Linked DNA regions of Tribolium castaneum. The main gene of each other region encodes a partner of the protein of the gene in region 2 in a complex. Links are inferred from orthologs where the notes say so. Each region holds a gene or a part of one and is shown on either strand. Other genes may lie near its edges.

The links. The genes of interacting proteins can lie anywhere in the genome.
Region 1: WDR79 (region 2) and Nop10 share a complex: the UniProt entries of both Homo sapiens proteins name them as parts of the telomerase holoenzyme complex. The link is inferred for Tribolium castaneum from reciprocal best matches to the Homo sapiens genes WRAP53 and NOP10.

The regions. Positions count from the first base shown.
Region 1 is NC_087402.1:810,162-813,894, forward strand, and holds Nop10 (H/ACA ribonucleoprotein complex subunit 3), read left to right. Parts: upstream 1-2,133; 5' UTR 2,134-2,158; coding exon of another isoform or gene 2,159-2,217; 5' UTR 2,218-2,222; coding exon 2,223-2,276; exon of another isoform or gene 2,277-2,294; intron 2,295-2,328; coding exon 2,329-2,371; intron 2,372-2,422; coding exon 2,423-2,520; 3' UTR 2,521-2,586; downstream 2,587-3,733. Other genes in the region: nucleoporin Nup37, read right to left, coding at 940-1,554, 1,651-1,833, 1,881-1,939, 2,016-2,086, 2,159-2,217; DNA mismatch repair protein Msh3, read left to right, coding at 3,027-3,733. UniProt on the Homo sapiens protein: Required for ribosome biogenesis and telomere maintenance. Part of the H/ACA small nucleolar ribonucleoprotein (H/ACA snoRNP) complex, which catalyzes pseudouridylation of rRNA.
Region 2 is NC_087399.1:12,232,491-12,237,990, reverse strand, and holds the start of WDR79 (telomerase Cajal body protein 1 homolog), read left to right. Parts: upstream 1-2,256; 5' UTR 2,257-2,409; coding exon 2,410-2,786; intron 2,787-5,500. UniProt on the Homo sapiens protein: RNA chaperone that plays a key role in telomere maintenance and RNA localization to Cajal bodies. Specifically recognizes and binds the Cajal body box (CAB box) present in both small Cajal body RNAs (scaRNAs) and telomerase RNA template component (TERC).

The sequences.
Region 1 (3,733 bases), on a different chromosome or scaffold from region 2:
ATATAAAAATTTCTTACCTGATTCTACCAACAAACTGAACACACGGCTTCGTTCGTATTTGGACCCCACGCCACTTATGCGGTCTATAGGAGAGAATGGGCGTCGGGGATTGGTCGGGTTTGAAGTTGGCGCGTTGGCGCGACCAATCACGAGGAGTCTAAACCATTTTGTTACATTTCTTTTATGAACCAATAATATACTTAGTTACACAATAAATGACTTGGAGTGTTTATGGATACGTGAGGCGGGAAAATTATTATTAATTCAGATGTGGGGACCGATAATTGTTGGGAAAAAACGTTGGAAGGGTTTTGGAATAAGTATGAGGCTGGTAGTGATAGGTTATGTCACTTGTTTGGGGAAAAAAATCACGGATGCTCCATTTTCGTATCATTAACAATGTTTGTGCGATAACTGTGTTATCGTATTTCCTATTATTTGTAGCACAGCACAGTTACACAGAGGAAACAAATTGTATTAAGTAAATATTAAAAAAAACTCAAAATTGCGTTTTTTTATTTAAAAAAAATGTGTATGTTAATTTTTATGCAAATTTTCATTCAAAATATCATCTCTTGAACCTTTTGTAGTAAGTGATTTTTTTTAATTTAATAAACAAATGTTTGAAGTACTAAAATTTTCAGCATTGTCAATTGTTAAATTGCAAGGCTACTAAGATTTTTTGAAAATATTGATCAAATAATGATTATAACACATTTATTTCAATGACAGTTAAAAGAACATCGATTTTTTTGATTCTAGTACTATTTAAAAAAGATTACCAACATACATATACAACCCTCCATGATTGAGTGTATATGTAATAAAATTTTTTGTATTTTTTCTGAAATCAAAATACTCATGAAAAGTGTGTAAGAACTCAGGTAAGAAGTTCCGGAGAAAAAAATTAAATAAAACACAGAATTATGTGAAATATGTTTATTTTGAGACAACTTTCCAAAAAGTCAACGTCATATAATCGCCAACGCAAACAATTGGATATCGGCAATGCCAACTAACATTACTCGGAAGTGTGACAGGAACTGACAACTTCATTTGATTAATCTGACAATCAACAATTTTCAACGTACTATCTAGACTATTAATCGCCGCCACCAAATTCCCAAATGAATTAAACCTAACAAAACCTCCAGCTTCGGTAAAAACAAGAGTATTACTCGCCGGAACGCACGGCTTTGACAAATCCCAAATGAGTAATTCCCCTAACTGCAATGATGCCACTAATTGCGAATCGGACGGCGCCCAATGGGCACAAGCTAGGGGCTTCCCATAATCAAGCGATAGAATTGGATTTTGCGTCTCAACGTTGTAGAAACGAATTAAACCGATTTTTTCAGCAATGAGTAATTTTGAACCGTCGTCTTTGTGCCAACATACTGACATTCCAGGTGACGTCAGTTGCAGTGTCACCACACATTGAAAATCGGTGGTGTCCCATAGTTTGGCAGTGTTGTCGTCACTCACTGACACCAGAAAATTATTGTCAGGGTCGAATTTAACGTCGTTTATGTAACTGTTGTGCTCACTTAAGACCTAGTCAAAAAAATAATTAAAAAAAAAGGTTTTTATTTACTAATCACAGCCTACTCTTATGCCAATTCAAATCAATTTATTTATTTATTTACGAACCTTACACACATCAGAGCCCCTTAAATCACTCCGAAACACTCGCACCTTGTAGTCTTTGCAGGCCGCTGCGAAAATTATATTATTTGGTAAAATGCTGGTTGATGTTTCTGGGGAAAATGTTAAGGAACAGCAGCGTGATTTAAGAGTGAATTCTGCCAAAATATCGAGTTCCAGCGATTGTTCCTACAATTTTAATAAATCAAACATCATTCTATTGTTACAAAACATACCTCATCTATCTTTAAATGCCCCAGGACTACTTTACTTTCGAACCCAATTAAAATCAAATCTTGGGAAAGAATAAAAGGGGAGAATTCAATGTTTAGTATTTGTCCATATTCCGAAAAATCCTTCTTAAATACTACCTTGGAATCGTTCAAATGCGATGCAATTTCCATAATTATGTTTGATTAGAAAAGTGCGCCAGAAATCTAACCTACAATAACCTAACTTTAGTAACTTTTGTGTTATGTCACCATGCGGCGTCATATTGGTAACCAAAACTAACCTTAAACCACATTTGTTGTGAAGCGAAAAAAATCGTTTTTTTGTGGGAATTTTCTTCATTCAAGATGTACTTAATGTATTATTTGGATAAAGACGGTAACCGGGTTTACACCTTAAATGTGAGTGTTACTTTACTGTCTTAAATATTGTGATAAATGAGTTTTTTTGTAGAAATTTGACCCTTCAGGAAAACCCACACTTTCGGCACATCCAGGTAACAATTCGTGAATTTTGGGGGGTTTACGTGAACTCATTATTGTTTTAGCACGTTTTTCACCCGAGGACAAATACTCACGTGAGCGAATCACAATCAAAAAACGTTTCGGGTTATTAATGACGCAACAGCCGGAACCAATTTATTGAGAAATAGTTTATTTTATTATTGTGATGAGAATATTTTTTTGATATGAATAAAAAATCGTAAAATAATGTGTTTTTTTTTTGTCATGTTGCTGCTTCTTCTACATTCTTCAAGTTATCTTTTAGATGTCTTTTTCAAAAAGTTATAGTTTTACTTAGAATTTTTCAAAATTATTTAAAAAAAAACTTTAAAAGAATTCCCCAAAATTGGGAAAATTCACTAGGTTGGCACCACTAACGGCGCTTGATTTTCAGTGCCTTGTGTGAAGAATAAGTCATTTCTTGACTGTTTTGTGGTAGTAAACGCTTGTCTGAATAAAGGGCGTAAATTCCAGGCCGTTTGTTGGTCATTTTGTGTAAATTAGCCATAGAATACACACACATTAGCTTCGCATTTTAGGGACATTTGGTAGCGTTATCAGCGCCGCCCTTGCCTGTCATTGTCATTTGACACGCCATTTGTGAGAAACCTTTGTTCTTTCTCAAAAAAATCAATAAAATACGTAAAAATGGGCGATCCGAGCCCAAGTGATCAGTTAGAAGACGGTGAAATAGTTGACGATGATGATTTCGAAGCCATTTCCGATAATTCCATCATCGATTCAACTTTTGGTAAGTTTGCTTCAACTAACCAACATTTACGTGCACCCCCTTTAAGTAGCGATAGTGAATCAGACAAGATCAAAACTAAAAAGCTACTGCACCGTAAATCAAAGCACCAAAAACGGCGCAAAAAGCGCCGAATACCGTCGTCTGACGACAGTGACAGTGATGTGTCACCTCCTCAAGATCTCAAGGGCAAGTTAAAAGAGGCGATCCACATCAGTGGTAGTGATGAGGGGCTCAAAAAACCCCTCGAGACACGACTCAAAGCCATGGGGGGCCTGGCCGCGAGCGCCCCCGAGCCCCCCCAAAAAAACGAAGACACCTCAGATAAAATGGACGATACTGAACTGGAGAATTTGCGTTTGGAAGCGCTAAAGACCGCGATTTTGAACAAATTCCAACGCCGGAAGCGGAAAAAGGAAGAAACGCTCGAAAATAAAGAGAATGATACGCCGAAAGATGAGAAAAAAACGGAGGAAAAAAACCCGGTTATTGACCTAGAGGAGGATGAGGACGTGTTAAGGGCCTCCCTGTTGGCGGGCCTTGCGAAAAATATCACTGAGAAAAGTGTAACCACTAAACCACTTCCTCCACCACTTCCGAAACCAGT
Region 2 (5,500 bases):
TTGTCTGTCTTTTTGACGGCATTCACAATTTGAATTAAACATCACATTAAATTTCATGATGACTTGATGAACCACCATTTTTGAACACATTGTACTTATTTATTATCTGTTTCAAAACTATAAAAACGCCAACGTCGCATTTTACCGAATTATTTTTTTAAATAAGATTGATAAAATTGTAAAATAGATATCAATGATTAGATCTCTCATTGAAAGTATAAATTACAGTTGCCATTATTTCTTTGAAGTGCAATTTATAAAAGCTAATTTTAAGAAAAAATGCGACGTTGGCGGTTTTATAGTTTTGAAATAGCTAATATTAAGAGTTGAACGCATTTTACGACCAGTTAATATTATACGTTGTCTGAATGGTGTAATTCTTTTTTTATTCAAAAGACCCTTTATTTCTGAATAATTTTTGTATTTTGTTATATCTAAATTTTTTGTATAGAACGCCAACGTCGCAGTTTCTCTCAAAATTAGTTGTTATAAATTATTCAAGCACTTCTAAAAATTAAAAATTAGTGCAATTGAGCCGTCTAAGTGCAAGAGTAACTCTTTGCCAAAAATTCGAAAAATGGTTTACTTGCATTTTTATATTTTGAACTTGAACAACAATTTCATGATTTCTTTGTTTTTTTACAAAATTCATTTTTTAATAGAGTAAAACTATATAAAAATTTTGAGTTCAATTCAAGTGCAAAAATAACCATTTACTTTTGGAACCAATTGAAACTGTAGGATGGCATCATGTGACTTTTTGAATTTTCTTAGTTCTCAGTTATTGCTGAATTGAAAATTTAAAAAGAACGTTTGTTTCAACATATTTCCTAACTGCTGCTTAATCGTTTTTGAATTGTTTTAATTAAGTAGGTACCTATTTAAATTATTACAATTATTTACATGAATCAGATGCAAACCTCACCCTTTGTTTTCTGTAAATCTAAATTTCTCTTTTATCCGTGAACCACGATTTGTAGGTACAGCATATGGCAATCAATTTTTACACATAAAGCTACATAAAGAAAAATGGCCTTCAAATGTCATTATAACTTTTCAAAATAATTTTTCGCAAATATTTCAAAACTAACTTATTATCAAAGAATGGGTTTTGCATTTAGACGGCTCAATTTATAGTTTCATTGAGAGATCATTAATTATTTTACAATTTTATAAACCTTATTCAAAAATTTAATTTTGTAAAATGCGACGTAAGCGTTTTTATTGTTTTGAAACAACTAATAGAAGTGTCAACATTTCGTTGGTTCTTCAATTATTATGGGTTCACATTCATAAAAACCATTTCCTAGTGTAAATCTCTTAAACTTGGCTTTATACTCTAAATGAGTGCCAATGTTTCTATTAGTTGTTTCAAAACTATAAAAACGCCAACGTCTCATTTTCTCTCAAAATTAGCTGTTATAAATTATTCACTCACGTTAAGAAAATAATTGCCGAACTAATTTATAGTCTCAATGAGAGATCTACAATTATTAATAACTATTTTATAATTTTATCAATCTTATTTAAAAAAATAATTTGGTAAAATGCGACGTTAGCGTTTTTATAGTTTTGAAACAGCTAATAGTAACTTATAATAAGAAATTTGTCAGAATTGACAGTGTCTACAAAAGTAAGTTAGAACCTCTGAAAGTTTTTAAAATCTGTTATATATTCACTTAAATTAAATTTGTAAAGTTGTGAAAATGGTCTAGAATCAGGGTATCAGGACTAATATTTTGTTTTAATAAAAAATAAACAATTTATTTCAGTACTTGACTGCACTTGTGCTAGGTGTCAAATTTTGAAATGGAATTAGTACTGCCAATCTGTACACTAGAAAAACTGTAGGCACGGTGTACCAACCTAACAACTCTACAGCTAGTTGTTATCCATGTGAAAATATAGTATATTATATTGGTTTTGAAAATGCATTTAATTATTTAATTTAATTAATTAATGATTTCTTCACTTACTATAATTGTAATTAATAATTTTTCTATAACAACAGGGTATATTTTAATTTGTTGTGTTGTTTTTAATTGCAATTAATTGCAATACATGTCTGCATACTCTTTTATGTAAATGGCTCCAGAGACAAAATGGCTCATTAGCGACTAGGGGTTTATAAGCAAAAATTTTCTGTCTTGATGATCGCTATAAGATCCTAGCGTTTAGCAACATGTTTTTGAACCACGGTGTATAAAAGTAAATTTAAATCTCCCGCCACGATGTTGGTGTTTTTTGCGTCGCGGCTGATTTCGGTTGGCGACTTGCGATCGTTTATGTCATTTTCTGTAGACACATTCCGACGTTGTTGATCCATTTTCGGTGTATTTGTGGCAATTTTGTCGTGTTGACTGTAAAAAAGCCGTGAATGTGTTTAGTTTTTAGGTGTCGTTAATAAAAATGACGGAGACAGTGACGGATCAACAACAATACGAAGCGGGCGAGGCCGTGCTCGGGCAGTCGTTCGTCTCGTACGCCAATTATAACTTTGAGAACTCAGCTTTAGAATTAGCACGGTGTCAGTGGTCGAATTATGCCGATCAACATTACCTCAAAGGGTGTAAGTGGTCGCCCGATGGGACCTGTCTCCTTACTGTGGTCCGAGGGGCTGGGATGCATGTCATGGAGCTGCCAACTGATCTCTACACGGGGGAGACAATCATGAATAGCCGACCCCTTGTGGCGCTCAGCCCCGCTGTCAGTGTGCCTGAGAGTGGACTCATCTACGATTATTGTTGGTATCCGGGGATGAATAGCGCAAATCCAGCAACGTGTTGGTATGTTTTGCATTCTGGTTTTCTAAGAGGAAGGAAATGACTGTCAAATTACGAATGTTGAAATTGAACCCAACAGTTTAAAGTGTGATAACATTTTATCCTTTACTAATATTGATTATTGATTGTTCAGATCAGACTTTCTCCTATTTCCGGTTGCCTTCTTTTTGTCCTTGTTGGAGTACATTTCTTTTTTAATCACAAAATGTATAACATATAGTCGATTCTTTCGTATAATCAACTGTCCAAAGGGACGTCAGGTTGGCATTATCGTAAATAGTATTTTTTTTATTTAAAGCTGGTACTAATTTTTATCTGGCTAATTTAATTTAATGGTCTTTAAGGGAGAGAATGGAGTGTTATACTCAAAAGTAAAAGTTTTTGGAAATTGTAGATTCTGAAAGTAGACACAAAATGATGTCCTAGTACAATCGGTCTGAGTTATTTTAAATCGGTACTTTTTTAGTAATAATAGAAAATTTGCGCTGTGACGTAAGCAATGTCACGACTAATGATTCGTCAGTTTTTCCTGCATACAATTAACGCTGCGACTGTGTTGTGTGCTAATATTTTGCAGAAGTTTGTGTTTTGGTAAAATGACTGCAGACTGCTCCTGAAGCACATCTTTCAAGCTATCTTTGTTGGCAAGTTTTCTATCTCTAGTTCTGTCAAACAGCAACATTGCTGACGTCAGGCCAGGAATTTTCACCTTTTCAATTATTTTTCTCCAAAACGGTGGAGCTTTGGTTAAAATAAAAAAATCTGGGTCGCCTATTTTGTTATTGGCTATCCATGTAAAAATTTTCATTTTTTAGTATAACACCCCATGTTTTAAATAGTAACTGTTCACAATTGCCGCCACACTCTACGTCAACTGGCCAGAAAAAGGTCCATCAGTAGCTCGCAATAATTAATAATTTATTTGTTTGTTTAGATTGGAAGACATAGGTTTTTTTAAACTATTCTTATGCAAAATTTTCTCCTGATTTCGAATCCTAAGTTATATTTATTGTTTAAAATTGCCTTCATTATGAAAAAGACGTTTCTATAAAAATTTTTTAAAAACTTAAAAGTGGTCAAATTTTGTGTTTACATTATTATATCCTCCTTCTGGATAAAGCTAGAATACTTATTTTTTTGCAAAAGATTCAAGGGTCACCGAGTTCCCATTTGTTCGAAAATGTAATTTTAGAGATATTGGAAGTCGATTTTGACGTATGGCTTACTACTTGATTCAAATATTTTATTCGAAAATGTCAAGAAATTTTCATAAAATTATCATTTCGAATTTGGTATCGCAAAAAGTTTCACTACAATGTTAAAAAAAAGTGAATGCAGAAGACGAGTGCAGATCAAGGCAAATGATATCCTTGTTTATTGAAAAAAAAATCACATTTTTTGTTTTGAGATAATTTCTGTGGGATCTCGTGTCTGATTAGTTATTAGGTAATCAAATTGAAATCGAATTATTTTATTTTGTGCTATACAAAACGCAAAATAAATAAAAGGGAGAAACAGAATTTGGAAGAAACGAAATAGCTATTGAAAGTCAAAAAATTTAATTTGAAATATATAATACAAATTAAAAAAATTCTGTTTTAATTTCACCGAATAATGTTTCCAAAATGAAGAGTACACAGTGTTAATTTTTTTGTTTATACAAATTTTGGTTCCTGACGAATTTTAAGTTGTGTTCTTTGCCCCTTAGGGTTGCCAAAGATTACCTTTGCAACATTATGGATAATTATACTAGTTGATTTTTTTCTAAGACCAGTGTTATCCCCTTTATTCGTTTCCTGTACCTCAAAAACCAAAGGTCGAATTGTTTGCGTGATTCTAAGCTTCTAGTGTTATCCACTTATCACATTTTTAATGCAATTTTTTGTTAATTTGTTGAAACATCGTAAAAATTCACGATCTGTCACTGTCACTGTTAGTTTATGGAAAGATTTTTGTCGCTGTTATTTAACAGAGAATGTTGCGGTAGAAATGTTACTAACAGAGGGTAACAGAGTTTACGGAATACGAATTTAAATAACAGCTGTAATTTTTACAGTAATAGAGCAATTGCATAGTAACAGAAGTTAGAGAATAGCACCATTAATTTCCTCTATTAATTTCTAGAGTTCCTATATTTACAATAAATAAATTTCCCAATAAAGGAACTCTAAGTCGAACTATTTTGCTCATTATTAAAATTTTTATTTATGTCGCTGAATGCAACAGAGCGGAGAACAACTTTATTTATTGTAATGATATTTTAAACAATTTCAAGTACGAATAAACAATGCACTAAAAATTATAATAAATGCTCAAAGTTTTGGCATGCACCGTTTGTAATAGCGTTCCTGGGGTGATCGTAGCATTAGCGGCATGAATTCGGTTCATGAACTCCTCAGAAATTCTTCTAAAAATTGCTTCTTCTGCAGCAACGGTTTTCGTACCTCTGGGCTGACGAAATTCTCTTGGTAAAAGATCCAAAAGGGATCCAAACGACCAGTTGATCGCATTCTTTGGTCCAGTAAAAATAATAATGATCAGTATTTAAATCATTTTTGCACAGTAAAAGATTTAAATGACAAGTAAACCATGCACAGTATTTTATTAAAATTTGCTCAGTAAAAAAATCGTATATGTACAGTATATAGTTTCAGTTTGCACAGTTTAAATAATAAACGCTCAGTAGCTAGCTTGCAGGCTGGGGCTTTGCCCCAGCG